Linked DNA regions of Struthio camelus. The protein of the gene in region 1 purifies or fractionates together with the protein of each later gene. This does not show direct contact. Links are inferred from orthologs where the notes say so. Each region holds a gene or a part of one and is shown in the gene's direction. Other genes may lie near its edges.

Region 1 (7,945 bases):
GGGAAGGGGATGAGGAACTCCCACCGGATCATCTTCACCATCGTCGGAGCCTTCATCTGCTCCTGGCTGCCCTTGAATGTCTGCAAGGTGTTGCTCTTCTTCATCGCGAAGGGGATGCTGGTCCTCTCCGAGGTGGAGGAGGAGGCCTTGAGGTGGGTCGTCACCAGCAGCACATGCCTGGCCTTCATGAACAGCTGCGTCAACCCCATCATTTACACCCTGATGGATCGCCATTTCCGGCGCCAGCTGCTGCCCCCGGCTCTCCGGGTGCTCTGCCTTTCCCCCGCAGAGAAGGGGCACAACATGGCCACGACGTCCTCTGTGACCGAGTCCAGCCTCATGTTCGGCGTCAGGACCAAGCCGTCCGCACCGCCGGGGCGCTGGCCAGCAGTGCAAGAGGAGAAGGATTGGGGGCCAAACGAGTAGGTCATTTGGGGAGGGCTGAGCTTGAGCAAGTGCCTGGGCTTGTCTACCTTCCTCATCTCTTCAAAGCATTGCAGAGAGAGAGCTGCGGGGCTGAGGGAGCGCAGGATGAGCCCTTTCTGGGGGGGGGGGGTTTCCTGGCTCCAGCACAGCCCTGCGCCACAGATTCGGATGCGTTTCCAAAACAGCTGCTAAAGTTGGTCCCGGCAGGTGAAGCTGCAGCTCCCCACACCACGGGTTCGGATGCTTTTCCAAAGCGGCTGCTAAGCTTTGTCCCTGCCGACTTCCCAGGGCCTGCCCAGGGCATCACCGGGGCCAGGCAGATGCCGTCGCAGGCGCAAGGTGACGGTTTCCCAGAGCCCAGACCCGTCCCTCCGCAGCCGCCATCATTTCAGACCTGCTGTGTGATTATGAGCTTAATTAAACCAAGCAGCCTTGGGTTAAAGCCATTGCGGGTGGCATCAGCCCCAGCACGTGGTGCAATTCCTTGCATCGATTCCACTAGCTGCTGAGTTTGTGTCTCGCAGGGCTATTGCTGCTTTTGTGGGATTGCCTCTACTTCTCAAATATATCGATAACACGGGCGGAACAACTGCAGCTGTGATCATACAACCCAAAACGGCAGCACTCTCTCTCTGTTAAGTAATCGTATGATAAAATGCTCTTAATAAGCTTAGCAGGTTAAAAGAAATAAGCTTGCAAGCAGGAATCTGCGTGCCCACTTTCAGCATTGATTTCGGTCTTATGAACAGCTATTTTTATAGCCTGCTTGTGGAATAAATATGTTTTAATGCTCAGCTGTGGTTCAGAGAAGCTTTGCCGAGACCGGGGCAGATGTCTATGGGAACCGCCGCTTTCGGTGGTGGCACTTGGCAGCCTGGCCCCGGGCCGCTTGTGGAAATTTTGAGCCACGGTTACTCGATTAGAAACCATTGCGCCGGGCTTTTTGAGACGGGCTTTCTGCAACCGTGCCCTTTCTGCCGCGGCTTTCCCGCGCCCGCCGATCCCGGGCCCTGGCCGACGCAGGACGGCCACCTCCGCCGCCTGCCTCCTAAATGCGCCGCTTTGCAAAATGAGCTGCCGTTTCCCAGCACACAGCCCACGGGGGACAGCCGGGGTGCCCGGGCGCGGGGACACGCGCTCTCGGAGGCGGCCGACGCATCCCGGCCACCTCCGCGCTGGCCCCGAGCGTGGGCATCGATGGGAGAGCAGCAGCACTGAGGCCGCAAGCGTTTCCCTTGCCTTCTCGCCCCGCGTTTTCCCCTGCCAAACGGCTCTAAACCGTTTTTCTTCCCGTTCACTTTCTCGCTACGCGGCGCCCCGCACTGCCAGGGTTTCCTGCCTTGACCCCCTCGAAGGGGAATAAAATACCATCATGCCAATGAAACAGCAGCATCCACGAGACACCCTCGGAAATGCCACCGTGCGCCAGGGACAAGTGTCACTGCTGGCCCACGTTTACCGTGTGAGTCCCCCCCCCGGGACCTCGGCGGGGGACGAGCCCTGGCAATGACACTTTCTGGGTGCATTTCTGCTGTTTAAGGCCGTTTTGCCCTGGGCCGTGCCCTCCGGGGTGGAAAAACCCAGCGGGGTGCGAGGACGCGCTGCCGCCGGCCACCAGCGCTGGCCAGGCTGGGCCGCGGTTTGGTTTCTGATCTCTGCATTTGAGTTAAAAACAAACAGAAACGGCTTCCCCCCGCTCATCAGAAACCTGGGCAGATGTGTGCCAGCCCCGGCCGCACCAACGGCCGCGGGTGACTCTCCCACGATGCAGGCGACAGGCGCTAAATAACACCCCCCCCGCCGGCTGACCTCGGCCATCCGTTTCCTTCCCCGCCGCAGCCCCGCTGCCCGGCACCGGCAAACCCCCCGCGCGGCCATGCCCGGGGCGCTACCTGTGGGGCAGAGAGCCGTGCGCGCCGAGTCCGGCTCCGGGAGCGAGCGAGGTGTTGCTGCACGGTTCCCGAGGGATGCACCGGCGTCTCCAAGCGGTGAGCGGATAAGAAAACTTTGGAGATTTGCAGCGGGAGCCCGTGGCCTTCGTGGGGCAGCTCTGCTGCCTGCACCCTCTCCTGCCTGCACCTCCTCTGTTTGCACCCTTGCCTGCACCCTGCTTGCACCGACTTCCCCTGTGCGTACCCTTGCCTGCACCCCAGCCCGCAGCCGCTTCCCCTGCCTGCACCCCTGCCTGCACTGCACCTGCCTGCACCCTCTCCTGCCTGCACCCCATTACCTGCACCCAACCTGCACCCTCTCCTGCCTGCACCCCCTTACCTGCACCCAACCTGCACCCCTTTACCTGCACCCCAGCCTGCACTGTGCCTGCCTGCACCCCCTTACCTGCACTCCCTTACCTGCACCCAACCTGCACCCCTTTACCTGCACCCTGCTTGCACTGCGCCTGCCTGCACCCTCTCCTGCCTGCACCCCCTTATCTGCACCCAACCTGCACCCCTTTACCTGCACCCCTGCCTGCAATCAACCTGCACCCCCTTACCTGCACCCAACCTGCACCCCTGCCTGCAATCAACCTGCACCCCCTTACCTGCACCCCTGCCTGCACCCAACCTGCACCCCCTTACCTGCCCCCTGCCCGCCTGCACCCAGGGGAGGGGAAGGGAAGCAGCGCAGCTCCCTGGCAGCACCCAGCGCTGCCCTTGCAGCGGCCGGTCCCCGGGGCTCCCGGCAGCCCCCGCCGCGCCGCACCGCTCGCCGCCCCCGGCGTCGCACCCACGAAGCACCGGCATGTCGGAGCAGGCCCCGGCCACACGGGCTCAGCTCAGGAGGAAACTCCCTCCTCCTCCTGCTCCTCCTGCTCCTGCTCCTGCTCCTGCTCCTGCTCCTGCTCTGCAGGCAGCAGCGATGCCGGGAGGCCCCCGCGGCGCCGGCAGCCAGCACCTCGCGGTCCTCCAGGCCCACCCGCCGCCCGGAGCATCCCTCCCCGGCGCCGCGGGCTGAGGCAGACTTTCCATCACCTGCCCCGGCTCCCGGCGACGCAGGATGTGGCTGGCGCGCCGCCGCAGCCCGCAGTGATTCATCCCGCGCCGGCTGTGAGCTGGCAGCAGCGCCGATCCCACGGGCCCCGGGGCAGAGCCGGCGTTCACCTGCCCCCCTCTCCTGGCCCTTCCTCCCTCTTCCCGGCCCCTTTTTCTCCCCGTGTGCTGCCAGCAGCTTCGTCGCGATGAAGACAACGGTACCCATGGCGATGCTGTGCCGTGCCATGTGATCCCATGCCGTGCCATGCTATGATGCACCGTGCCGTGCTGTGCCATGCTGTGCCATGCTGTGCCATGCAATCCACTGCTATGCAGTGCTATGGTGCACCATGCTGTGCCGTACTGTGCCACACTGTGCCATGCAATCCCATGCTGTGCCATGCCATGCCGTGCCATGCTATGATGCGCCATGCCGTGCCATGTTGTGCCATGCAATCCACTGCCATGCATGCACAGTGCATCCACTGACTATGATGCACCATGCTGTGCCATGCTGTGCCATGCTGTGCCATGCAATCCCATGCTGTGCTGTGCCATGCTGTGCTGTGCTATGCAATCCACTGCCATGCAGTGCTATGATGCACCATGCTGTGCCATGCTGTGCCATGCCATGCCAGGCCATGCCATGCAGTGCAGTGCCATGCCATGTCACGCCTTGCTATGATGCACCATGCCGTGCCGTGCTGTGCCATGCCATGCTGTGCCGGGCCATGCAGTGCAGTGCCATGCCATGCTGTGCTTTGCTATGATGTACCATGCCGTGCCATGCCACGCTGTGCCGTGCAACCGTACGCTCTGCTGCGCCGTGCAATCCATCGCCGCACCGCGCTGTGCCCCCGAGCCGGCACAGCCCCCGGCCCCCGGCGGCGCGGGGAGGGCAGGGAGGTGCCGCAGCCCCGGCTCGTGAGGGATTTCGCCCGGGAAGGTGTTGCTCACCTGCTCCTCCCCTCTGACTCAAGTCAAAACAAGTCGCCCGGTTTCCCAGGCGCGGGCAGAGGCGGCGAGTGGCGGCCGAGCCGGCGGCGCCCGGCCGGGCCGGCAGCTCCAGGTAAGGCATCGCCTGCGCGGCTGCGGCCCCCGACCCGACACAACTGCGCGAGCCACGCCGGAGCCGGGAGCCGAGCGGGTGCAAAGCCGCAGGCGGCTGGCGAGGGGGTGACGCTGCCTCTCCTCCCCTCCGCTCCCCCAGGCCACGACGGGTCCAGCCTCTTGCCGGGACGAGCCATTGCCGGGTGCCGCCGGCGCCGGCGCCGCCGGGGACGCGCTGGGGAGATCAGAGCGTCTCGGCACCACGCCGAGCAGCGAGGGTCCCGTGGGGAGGAGCTCTTGGTGCCCGATCGCCCCAAGGTTGGCTCCGGAGAGATGGGGGGAAGAGGAGATTGAAACGGCCCGGCCGAGGTGTCTCCCTCCTGTGCTCCAGGGAGGCAACAGGTACCCCCAAAACAGGGTTTTTTGGAGATCACGCAGGAGAAACGAGGCTGCTCATGGCCCTGCTCCGGCCTTCCCAGTCCCTGGGGAACTTTGCCCTGGACCGGATATCTGCCCGACACTGCCCTCCAGCTCGCGCGGCAGAGACACGCGTGAGGCCTGCGAGGCCCGGTGCTGTGCTGGCTCCTCCAGCCTCTTCCCGGGGGCTCTGCGGGAAATGGGGCGTCCGGGGGGGGGCAGCAGCTTTCCCACATCCCACTCCTGGAAAAACGCCTCGCCCTCCGCGCGGGAGGGAGCCGGGCGCCCGTGTGAACCCGAGGCGGAGATGAAATAAAAACTGGGAGAGGCGCCCAGCGAAACCAGCCGGGGTGGGAACGGGACCGTGACGGTCCCACGTGCCTCCCCCGGCCTGGCCGGGCTCCGGCATCCACGGGACCCCCTTTCCCGATCCGGACACCCCCCTTGGGCTGCGCCGGGGCGAAGCCGGCCTTTGCACGCTTTTGTTTATCGTAGGACCTACAAGAAGGCCGGCAGGCAAAGCAAACACTGACTCGCCTTCCTCCCCCGCAGCAACAAAGCGCCGCTCGCCAACCGGCGCGACGGGGTGGGAGGGGGCTCTGTGGCCCCGCAGGATACGAAGTCCGGCCGAGAAGGAGCTGAGCGGTGGGTCGCCGCTGAGAAACGGGGCGCCCGGCCTGGCGCTGCGGGGTGCCGTGCGTGGTGGTGCATCGGGAGGGAAACTGAGGCACAGGGGGGGCTGGGGGGGGTGGCTGCTCCTCCGGGAGCAAACTGCCTCTGGCCCCGGAGAGCTGCCGCCGGCCAGGGGCTAAGGGTGCGCGGGGGGGTTGCACTTGCGTGTGCAAGGCTGGGCAGGGTGGGGAGGTGCACATGCATGTGCAAGGCTGGGCATGGTGGGGGGGGTTGCACATGCGTGTGCAAGGCTGGGCAGGTTGGGTGCGTGGGAGGTTGGACATGTGTGTGCAAGGCTGGGCAGGGTGGGGGTGCACACATGTGTGCAAGGGTGGGCAAGGTGGGTGGGGTGCACATGTGTGCAAGGCTGAGCAGGGTGGGCGCATGGGAGGTTGCACACGTGTGTACAAGGCTGGGTGCATGGGAGGTTGCACACGTGTGCAAGGCTGGGCATGGCGGGGGTGCACATGCGTGTGCAAGGCTGGGTGCATGAGAGGTTGCACCTACATGTGCAAGGCTGGGCATGGCGGGGGTGCACACACGTGTGCAAGGCTGGACACAGTGGGGGTGCACCCGCGTGTGCAAGGGTGGGCACAGCGAGCGAGGGGTGCACACATGTGTGCAAGGCTGGGTACGGTGGGGGTGCACACGCGTGTGCAAGGCCGGGTGCGTGGGAGGTTGCACCCGCGTGTGCAAGGCCGGCCACGGCGGGGTGGGGGGGTCCCCAGGCGCGTGCGGGGCCGGACGACGGGCTCGGCGCTCCCGCGCAGGTGCCCCGGGCCGGCATGGAGCAGGCGAGCGAGACGGACAGCGGCGCCCCGCGGCGCTCGGGTGAGCGCGGCCGGCCGAGCGCCCCCGCCGCGACGGGCGGGTCGGGGCGAGGAGCCGGCCCCCGGCCCGGTGCCAGCAGCTCCGCACGACGGGGCGGGGGAAAAGTCGACAATTGGGAAATTCGGGATTTCCCCAGGTCGGGGCGAAGCAGCCGAGCGGGATGGGGATGCGGGGGGGGGGGGGGAGTCCCCGCGTGGGGTCGGGGCCGGGGGGGACACGGCGATGCCAGAGCCCGGCACGCCCCCCCCCCCCCCCGGCGCCGGCGGGTTTCGCTCCGGGGAGCGGCTGAGTCAGAGCGAAACCTGCCGCCGCCGCCGCCGGCTTCGGAGCATCCTCCTGGCGGCGGGGCGGCGGGGGGGGGGTCGGGGGGGGGGTCGAGATTTAAAAAAAAAAAAAAAAAAAAAATCACAGCTTTTCACAGCGCGGCCCGAGGGGACCCGGCGGCTCAGCGCAAGCGGCGCCGGGAGCTGGAGGCCCGGCTGGAGGTCTGCGTGCAGGAGCTGCGGCGCCTGTGCCTGCGCGAGGCGGTGAGCGGCGGCGGGCGGTGGGCGTCCGGCCGCGGTGCCCCCCCGGCCCCGGCTCAGCTCTCCCCGCTCTGCTCCAGGAGCTGACGGGGATTTTGCCCCGCGAGTTCCCCCTGCAAAGCGGCGAGAAGCCCCCCAAAGTGCGGCGGAGGATCGGCGCCGCCTTCAAGCTGGATGAGACCCTGGTCCTGCGCGGGGCGGTGAGACGTCCCCGCTTGCCCCCCATGTACCCCCCCCCCCAAAACCCAGCCTGGCCTCAGCCTTCGTTGTCACGCCGGCGCCCCTTCCTCCTCCTCCTCCCCCCCGGCCGCGCGCCGACGGGGTGCTCAGCCCCGCGCGGCCGCCCTGGGCACCCCGGGGCGCAGCCAGGTTCGGGGTGGCGGGTGCCGAGCAGCCGTCCGTCCTTCCCCTCCCTCCTCCACCCGCCGCCCTCCGCCGTCCCCAGGACCCGCTGAGCACCCTGGAGCGGGACCTGGCGCTGCAGCTGCAGATCGCCGAGGCCGCCCGCCGCCTCTGCCGGGAGGAGAACATCGGCAAGCAGCTGCGCAAGCGGCGGAAGAGCGCGGCGCTGAAGGAGGAGAGGAAGCTGAAGGAGCTGGAGACCACCCTGAACGAGTGTCGCCTCCGGGCCGGCTGCCGGCCCCTGCCCACGAGCGGCGGCACCGCCGCCGACGGTGAGCCTGCACCCCGGCGCTCGCGTGGCGTCCGGCCCCGGCGGTGGCTGCTGCAGGCCGGGGGACTCGGCACTGTCGTCCCTGGGGACTGCAGGCCGGGGTGCTGGGTGCCGTGCGTGCACCCCGGGGTGCCCTGGGAGGATGCGCCCTGCTGCACCCTCCGGGGCGAATGCACCCCGGGGTGCCCTGGGAGGATGCGCCCTGTTGCACCCTCCTGGGCAGAAGCACCCCGGGGTGCCCTGGGAGGATGCGCCCCGCTGCACCCTCCGGGGCGAATGCACCCCGGGGTGCCCCGGGAGGATGCGCCCTGTTGCACCCTCCGGGGCGAATGCACCCCGGGGTGCCCTGGGAGGATGCGCCCCGCTGCACCCTCCGAGGC
Region 2 (7,739 bases), on another chromosome or scaffold:
TTAGTAGAGAGAAATAGATGCTTACTGTGTATTCATAAGCTTTAAGGGTTTTTGGTTAATATTCTTGTTTGGATACTGTACTTGTGTTGTCAGTAGTAGTAGCGAATTTATTTAAGAAAGTGACATCACAACTGCAGGACAAAACACTAATTACTATGGCAAACTACAGGTGTTTTTGGGTTTTTTTAGGTTTTTTGGTAACCCATTTACTGTAAACAAACCTGTATTAAATGTGCATATTCCAGTAAATGTTTGTTTAGAAGAAATACAATGAAATGCATTTAGATCAGTTACAGTAATTGAACAAAGATAGACCAAACTGGGGATATCTATTCAAATTTCGGTAACTTTTAGTAGTAACTATATATATGTGTGTGTGTGAGTGTGTGTATATATAGATATATAGATACATATATATGTGCTGTTGTGCGTTCTTCTGTTTTACTACTTGGCTAAGAGTATAATTTGTACTTTCAATAACTTTGTTCCTCTTTAATGAAAGATCAGTAACTAAATTGACTTCCTATTTAGTAGCAGCTGAAACGCTTTCCACGCGGGCTAAAAGGTTTGTCGCATGAATGAGTTGCGTTAGCAATAGAACATTCTTTTTATTTAAAGACTAGAAGACATCATGAAAGCATGGTGCACCCGCAGCTTGTTCGCTATGCTGTAACACTTTTCCCTCCAGAGGATCTTTGTTCCTTTTTGTTATTTAAATGTTCGTGCAGACTCCTCCTATCCTGTCTACTTTGTGTTTAGAGCTGGTGAACCGCAGAAAACTTGGAAGTGACTGAGAGAGGGCAGCTAGAAAACCTGTCTTATGGGACAAATGCGTAATGTGCGCTCTAGGAGCCCTTCTGTACGAAGGGTTATATGGACACAAGGTTAAACAACAAACTTGAGTATTTTAGCTATGGAAGAGTCAAAGTTGTTTAATGGAAGCAGTCTTGTCAGAGCGGATATTTGTGTCATGTACCTGCAATATTTGCTTATGACTGTAAGAAAGTTTTAATGCACTGCTGTTAAACTTTTGGCCATATTTGATCTTACGTTTGTTTTCAGCAGCTGTAAAATAAGTCTTTGTGTCAAACATCTCAATTGTGGGTTTTCAATTTTTTTTTTTGAATAAATAAAACGAACATGGTTTGCTGGCTCTCGCTGCGGTAGCTGCACGGCGGGTTGCAGAAGGCGCCTCAAACTGCCGTTGGATTGACCAATTGCTGTTTGAGTCTGGAACAGGTCTGATATCACTGAAGCAACATTTTATTTATTTAGAAGTAGAATGTAGGGTTTTTTCCTGTTTTCCATGTGTTTTTGAATCACTAGAGATCACTGAAAAGCAAAGAATAATTGAAGTGAAAAATGCAGAGTAGATTCTCGAGAGCAAAAAGTAATGTTAGTGGTGCCCTTCTTGCATGAGCAATGTTTTAAGCCACAGTTGAGCATCTTCTGCTGTTCCTTTCCTTCCAGGTAAGGTAAAAATACCTTACAGTGCTGATGTTTCAAAGCCCTTCACCGAAATACAGAAATACTGTTGTTGCATTTGTGTTTTAAGAAGGGGGATTGAAACATGGAGAAGGCAGTAGACATGGCTGAGGTCACACAGCCTCCTGGAGCAGAACCGTAAGGCCTCCGAAATTGCGGTCTGTGACAGCCCACGCAGCCTGTTAAGAAAGTTTTTGGGGAGGTGGGGGGGTTCACTTTCCGATGGATCCGTTTCCTCCTCAGCGCGAGCAGGAGCGCTGGAGAAGGGAGGCAGTGATGATAGGAGGGGGGTGAGCGCGTAGCAAACTCCCACGGTTGTCTGCACACACGGGCCAGTTTGGGGCGACGACAGGAGCTGCGCATCCTGCCAAGGAAGTGATCTGTCCTGCCAAGGAAGTGATCTGTCCTCGCTGGCTGCCGGGCTAAGGGGAAATAAAGCCCTGACTACAGCAGAAGCCCAAGCAGTACCCTAACGCTTACCCAGTTGTGTCCTGGCTCTTTATTCTTCTCAAGGGATATTAGCCTTTTTTGGCTTCGGTGTTAGGACTGCCATGTGACGGTGTTGTCCGGACGTGGCGTCGCCTCCAAGCGCTCTCTTTAGAACCGTCCCGCCAGCAGACAGCGCTCGTCTTGCTGCTGGCAGATAGATCCTCGATGCGACTTCCGAAGGCCAACGGCGGCGTGGCTCCGTTTAGTTTATTTCCTTCCTGTGTGACAATATCATTAATCATATCAGGAGGGTTATGTCTCTGTGGCTGCTGCGAACTGTCAGAGGAAATGGAAAAAAAAACCCAGGAGAGTGTCTGTGGGTGCTGTAGGAAAAGGACTGAAATGTTTTTATTTCTGTTCTTCGGTGGCTGTCTGGAGGGTAGACTGCTGTGGCGCCATTTGGGTTGGTTCCAAGGAGACGTTAACTTGTCCTAGGCGTCCCACACCCTTACCCCGGTGGGCTTCAGCTGCAGAGTGACTTGGAGAAAAGAAACCGCAGTAAGGGTGAGCGACGGCATCCTGCCGCCCAAAGAGCAGCTGCTGCAAAGATTTTTGTCACTTGATTGGAAGTAAAAATCGAGCACCGTCTATGGTTACTAACCATTTAATACTTAAAGGTTATTGTCTATTTAGGTTTGAATTTGTATTTCCAATTGCTAATGAAGATGAGATTTGCCAGACCGTCTGCTGTGACCAAAAGTTAAAAACCAACCCCCCCGCCCCCAACAAACAAACAAAAAGCCCCAAACACTTCCTAATACTGATACTGCAAAATCTAATCTAGTTGCGTCTACTGCAAAAGCGCTTTAGGGATACTGGAGCGTACTTCCCAGCTAAGAGGCTGAGTGCTTATACACGTCTTGCCACCTTAATAATCAGCTTCAGGTAACAGGCTTCGTATTTTGTTGTCAGGTCGTCAGGTAACTGGAACGACTGTGGTATCTGCGTGTACCTAGTGTGTGCGTAGTCAGGAAAATCTCTTGAGTTTGGCCAATGTAAAATCTTGGGCTGTACGTGTGAGACAAAGCTGTGATGTCTGGGGTAGGCAAATGTATTTGTAAGTTTTGCAAAAAGAATCGGTTAGTATTTGCATGAAAGAAATTTTTAGGAATGGGTAGGGTTCTGGGGAGATGAAGGGAAAAAGCAGGTAAACATATTCAAGTCTGGTATTCTTTCAACAAAAGACTTTATCATTTCCTAAGCTGGGAGTAATGTAATTACGTTTGTGTCTGGAAGAGTTAAATTAGATCATTTGGCATAATTACTTTGTGTTTAACAAGCTGTGTTGCCATTTGGATTTTATATTATGCTTAGACTCCTAGGAGGAAAGGAGGTTAATCACTGGCTGCCAGAAAGAATCGCTATATTTCACTGTTAAGATTTGAACAGAGGATACGTTTCAAATATATCTTTAAAAAAAATCCCATAAAACCTAAGTCTGAGCTCCTGATCCTGTTGCTAGAAGCTGCTAGACACGGGCATATGAGATAAAGAAACAACTTTGGCCTTTTTAAATGACTACGTACTTTTACATGTTTTTGTTGGTAAAGAATTTTATTTGTTTTACATATTCTGTTTTATCTAATCTTGAAGGAAAAGTTGTTCTGCAATTCTGGAGCAATTTCCAAGAGAGTGAGTCACATGAAAAACTATTATACTATGGGTTCGTTGCAAAGCAGGTGCATATTTTTGGTTGATATGGTAGTGCTGTGCAAGTGAGTGAGCGTAGTCTCTGTCCTATGAAGCCTCTTGCTAGGGAGAATGCAATTGCTTAATAAAAGCTGAGGTTTTTTGGAGCAACTTTTCATGTTTGCTTGTCAGATGCAGACAGTGGGGTAAGGGAGCTGCTGCTAGGGTGAGTGACAGCCGAAGCTGTGTACAGAAATGTGTTTGCATCTTCAGTAGCAAGTAATTTTTATCAACATGGTAGCATATTTGTTTTAGCATAGTCAAAAAGATATCTAAAATTGACTTAAATACTTCGGACTTATTTAAATGATATTATATGAAAACATAAGCTTGTGAGATGCTGTGCTAAATAACTAATTCCAACTGTTTGTTTATTTGTAATGTAGAAAGATGTCTATCCTGCTGATGGGAAGTAATCGCTGTTAAAGATGTTAGTAGTATTATACTTACAGGCATCTGCTGTACAAAGCAGTCAAATAAAAGGGTACTCCTGAAAATATGTTGTCGTCTGAAATCAGCACCAGGATGCGTGTCTTTGTAATGAGTTTTATGTAGCGTTACCTTTTTTCCTGAAAAGATAGTCAGGTGCATGTGTGTTAAATCATACTTAATTTACATGGAGAATTTTGGTCTGTTATTGAAACAATTGGAGTGATGCCAGACATGAATTTGGCAATGTAACTGTAGAGCCAAATCTGATGACCCATTATATGAGAACAGATTCCCTTTAATTGTCTGGCTTTCTTTGAAAGACAGATTCTTTCCATAGTCGTTCATTTAATTACCTAATTTATGATTTATAAAGTAGAATTTCAGTAAAGTGAGTATTCCGTTTTCTTTCTTTTTTTTCCTCTGAAAATAATCTTGACTAAAAAAAAAAAATGCCATGAAGTTGCCTGTAAACTTGCTTTTCTTAATCGACATAGTCTGATTTTCTTCTGTAAAGTGTGTTTGCAAATGGTGAAAGACTGTACTTTTTGCTGTATTTCAGTGCCTGATGACCTCTCCATAGAGGAAAGAGAAGAACTGCTAAATATTCGTCGCAGGAAAAAAGAACTGATTGATGATATTGAGGTAATTTATCTCTAAAAATTCTTACAGGACTGCTTCAGTAGATTAAGTTACAGTACACTGCAACACTTCCCTCTACCTAGTTATGAACTGCAGGTAATGTTTTCAAAAGCATCTAAATGGCTTAACCTAAATCTTACTAATTATCAAAAGGATTTATGCAGCATTTATGTTTTAAAAATGCTAATATCTGTATGTAATGTAACATGTGCATATGTAAATATTCTAGGTTAGTGTAATATCTCATATACAGTAGTTTTGTATTCAGGGTAGCAGTGAATGAGAAATCTGAGCAAAAAAAAATTATATTGAAATGGTTAATGTTTCTTGTAGTGGTAAAGAACATGAAATAATGTGACATTGAAGGTAAGCAGATGAATAATAGGTGTAAAATCTGTATTCAGAACAGAATCTGAAAAACAGCTTTCGGAAGAGGATTTTTTGATTGTGGTGTTCCGACCTGGGCACGCACTGGGAGTTAAGATCCACGTGTTTAACAGTGATTCAGCTGTGGTCAAATTAAAATCTTTAAGCTAAGAATCTCAGGAAGGTTCACTACTTTTCTTCAGATGACTAGTAAATATTAAAAAAAAAAAAAAACTAATTGATCATAACCGTATATGCTAGCCAATTTCAAAAAATGCTTTAATGTTGGTTGACTTACTTTACTTCCCTCTCTTGGCAGAGATTAAAATTTGAGATAGCCGAGGTTATGACAGAAATTGATAATCTGACTAGCGTAGAAGAAAGGTAAGTAATGCTAACGATATGGGAATGCTTCAGTAAGATGTTGGAACAGGTCTTTCAGGAACAGCAAATACAGATAGCTTTATTATGTTGAACAAACATTTGATCACCTTTTTTCACTCTGTTATAAGGTCTTATCCCATTCAGATGTGTCTTTGCTTTGGCTAGAAAGTGATAGATATATTGGATAGAGTGTGATCCTTTCAGCTGTTCTATTGATAATGATACAGCTCTAAAGCTGTGATCACTTAAAATAATTTAAAATTGTAACATATTTTTCCCCTTGTGAAAACTAAATGTCTCAGTTCTGTAATTGAAAATACAAAAGTAGCCAACGGTCAAGTTAAGAGGTTCGTCCAGAAATTATCTAAGAGCAAGGGATAATCTTTTTGTTTCTTCCTTTTCTTTTTCTCCATATGAAGCAAAGCTACGCAAAGAAATAAGCAAGTAGCTATGGGAAGGAAGAAATTCAACATGGATCCTAAGAAGGTAGAGCATGTGTTTTGTGTGGTGTTTTTTTTGTTTATTTGTTTGTTTTTTAACTTGTCAGGACTCAGGTTCCTGCTAGTGATGTGATTTGTGGCAAATATAGACTGTTTTCTTTAAGAAATCATGTCTGATAGCGTTAAATTCATAGGCCTTATTTGTCTATCCTTTAACATACTGAGCAGAGGGTTAAATTAGGTGCAGTCGTTTGGTCATTTGCCAGTCATGTATGCTTTTTTCACTCAAGCAGACTTTTTTTTGATAACAGAAAATATTATCAAAGGTCAAATATGCCAGGTATTGAGTTGGCTTGCAGAAAGATTATTTACACCTGATAGAGGTGTTTTGTATTGGTATGCTAAATGTAATTATGAAAATATTTTGAAGTTTGGTTACTAGCTAGGCCATATGTATTGTCTGCCCCCTATTTTTTGTTCTTTTAAGATATCGATAATGTTTTTCAAAATTTGTTCTCACATAGACTCTTATATTTGCTTATCTAAATTCTGTTTGTGAATAATGCATGTGTATAGATTTGTATGCTTATATATGCACGCGTGTTCACACATACATATATACGTACCTGTACCACTGGTAAGTAGCCGCAAGTGGATACTTGGTTATCAGTTTCAAGAAGGCTACTGTGCGTTAGCTGAAAGGTAAAGTAGTTCATTGCTCCGCTGAATAGCGGTTTTACCTTGAGAATTCCGTGACCTGCTCATTCTCTTGTAGACTTCCCTCTGATATATTACAAAAAAAAAAAGTGTTGCTTTGATATATTTGACTTGGTTTCCTAGATTTCCCCTTTAACCTTTACTTTTCATTTTGGAGCTTTCTTGCTTTATGTTTTACTGCCTTCTGTTGTTTTCATTAGGATTTCATTTTGAATTTCTGAAGGATCTTTAACAACTCTTTCAGAATTTTTTAATAAGCCTTTGTTTTCCTGTGTCTGTTCTTGACATGTTTTCTTTCCAAACGTATTTAATTCAGTTGTGTTTTGGTGGCTTTTCTGTGATGTTCCAAGTACAATAATGTCGACTGTTTTTTGGGGGCTATTTTCAACTTACCATAAGCACTCTAGTGTTTTGTGATACAGAACTTTTTTTAAGCCATTGACCATGTCTTTTATTTTTCTTGTCTGTTTTGGCGACTGTCTGACTTTGGTTCTGCTGAGGGCAGAATATCCTCAAATATCCTGATATGTTGTTTTCTCCAGCTCCTTTGCCTCCTAGAAGTTTGTGGTAAAATCACAGAATGATGTCAAATATTTTCGTTGCAATGTTAGCTGGTCTTTATTGGTGGGTGAAATTATTTCTATAAATAGATGCTGTGGCCACATTGCTCCTGTAACATAATTTAAATGTGGTGAATAGACTTACAGTAGTAATTCCTTAATGATGTCTGTGAAGCAGTGGTGGCCTGCAAGAGCTGGCTGCTCTAAAGCTGGATCATCTCTTTGTTAGCAACTGTTACTTTGAATTATAGGCAGCTAAAATATATGTCCTTCTGATGTTTGAGAGAATTAACTTGGAATCACTGTGGAAAAGGACTTTTTTTTTTTTTTTTCCTAAATGGGAGAGAAAATGGTCTCCATAGACAGGAATGTGAAAGAAATGGGATAACAATACGTGTGTTGAATTCCCCAAATTCTCTCCTTTAAAAACAAATAATAAAAAAGACATCTAACACATTCTCGTTGGCAAGAACATATAGAGCTAATTTCTCTATTTTTCTCAAATTTTATTTGAAGACCTTTAAATTTTCCAGCGCTT

Evidence for each region. The genes of interacting proteins can lie anywhere in the genome.
Region 2: the proteins of INAVA (region 1) and CYTH3 purify together in Homo sapiens (co-immunoprecipitation; 3 studies listed by BioGRID and IntAct, counting the BioPlex papers as one, with this or other methods). This does not show direct contact. The link is inferred for Struthio camelus from reciprocal best matches to the Homo sapiens genes INAVA and CYTH3.

The regions. Positions count from the first base shown.
Region 1 is NC_090965.1:4,025,723-4,033,667, reverse strand, and holds the start of INAVA (innate immunity activator protein), read left to right. Parts: upstream 1-4,810; 5' UTR 4,811-4,850; intron 4,851-5,374; exon of another isoform or gene 5,375-5,417; 5' UTR 5,418-5,510; intron 5,511-6,307; 5' UTR 6,308-6,322; coding exon 6,323-6,368; intron 6,369-6,779; coding exon 6,780-6,895; intron 6,896-6,972; coding exon 6,973-7,092; intron 7,093-7,337; coding exon 7,338-7,566; intron 7,567-7,945. Other genes in the region: GPR25 (probable G-protein coupled receptor 25), read left to right, coding at 1-426. UniProt on the Homo sapiens protein: Expressed in peripheral macrophages and intestinal myeloid-derived cells, is required for optimal PRR (pattern recognition receptor)-induced signaling, cytokine secretion, and bacterial clearance.
Region 2 is NC_090956.1:9,140,490-9,148,228, reverse strand, and holds the start of CYTH3 (cytohesin-3), read left to right. Parts: upstream 1-4,620; coding exon 4,621-4,737; intron 4,738-5,419; coding exon 5,420-5,484; intron 5,485-5,903; coding exon 5,904-5,970; intron 5,971-7,739. UniProt on the Homo sapiens protein: Promotes guanine-nucleotide exchange on ARF1 and ARF6. Promotes the activation of ARF factors through replacement of GDP with GTP. Plays a role in the epithelial polarization.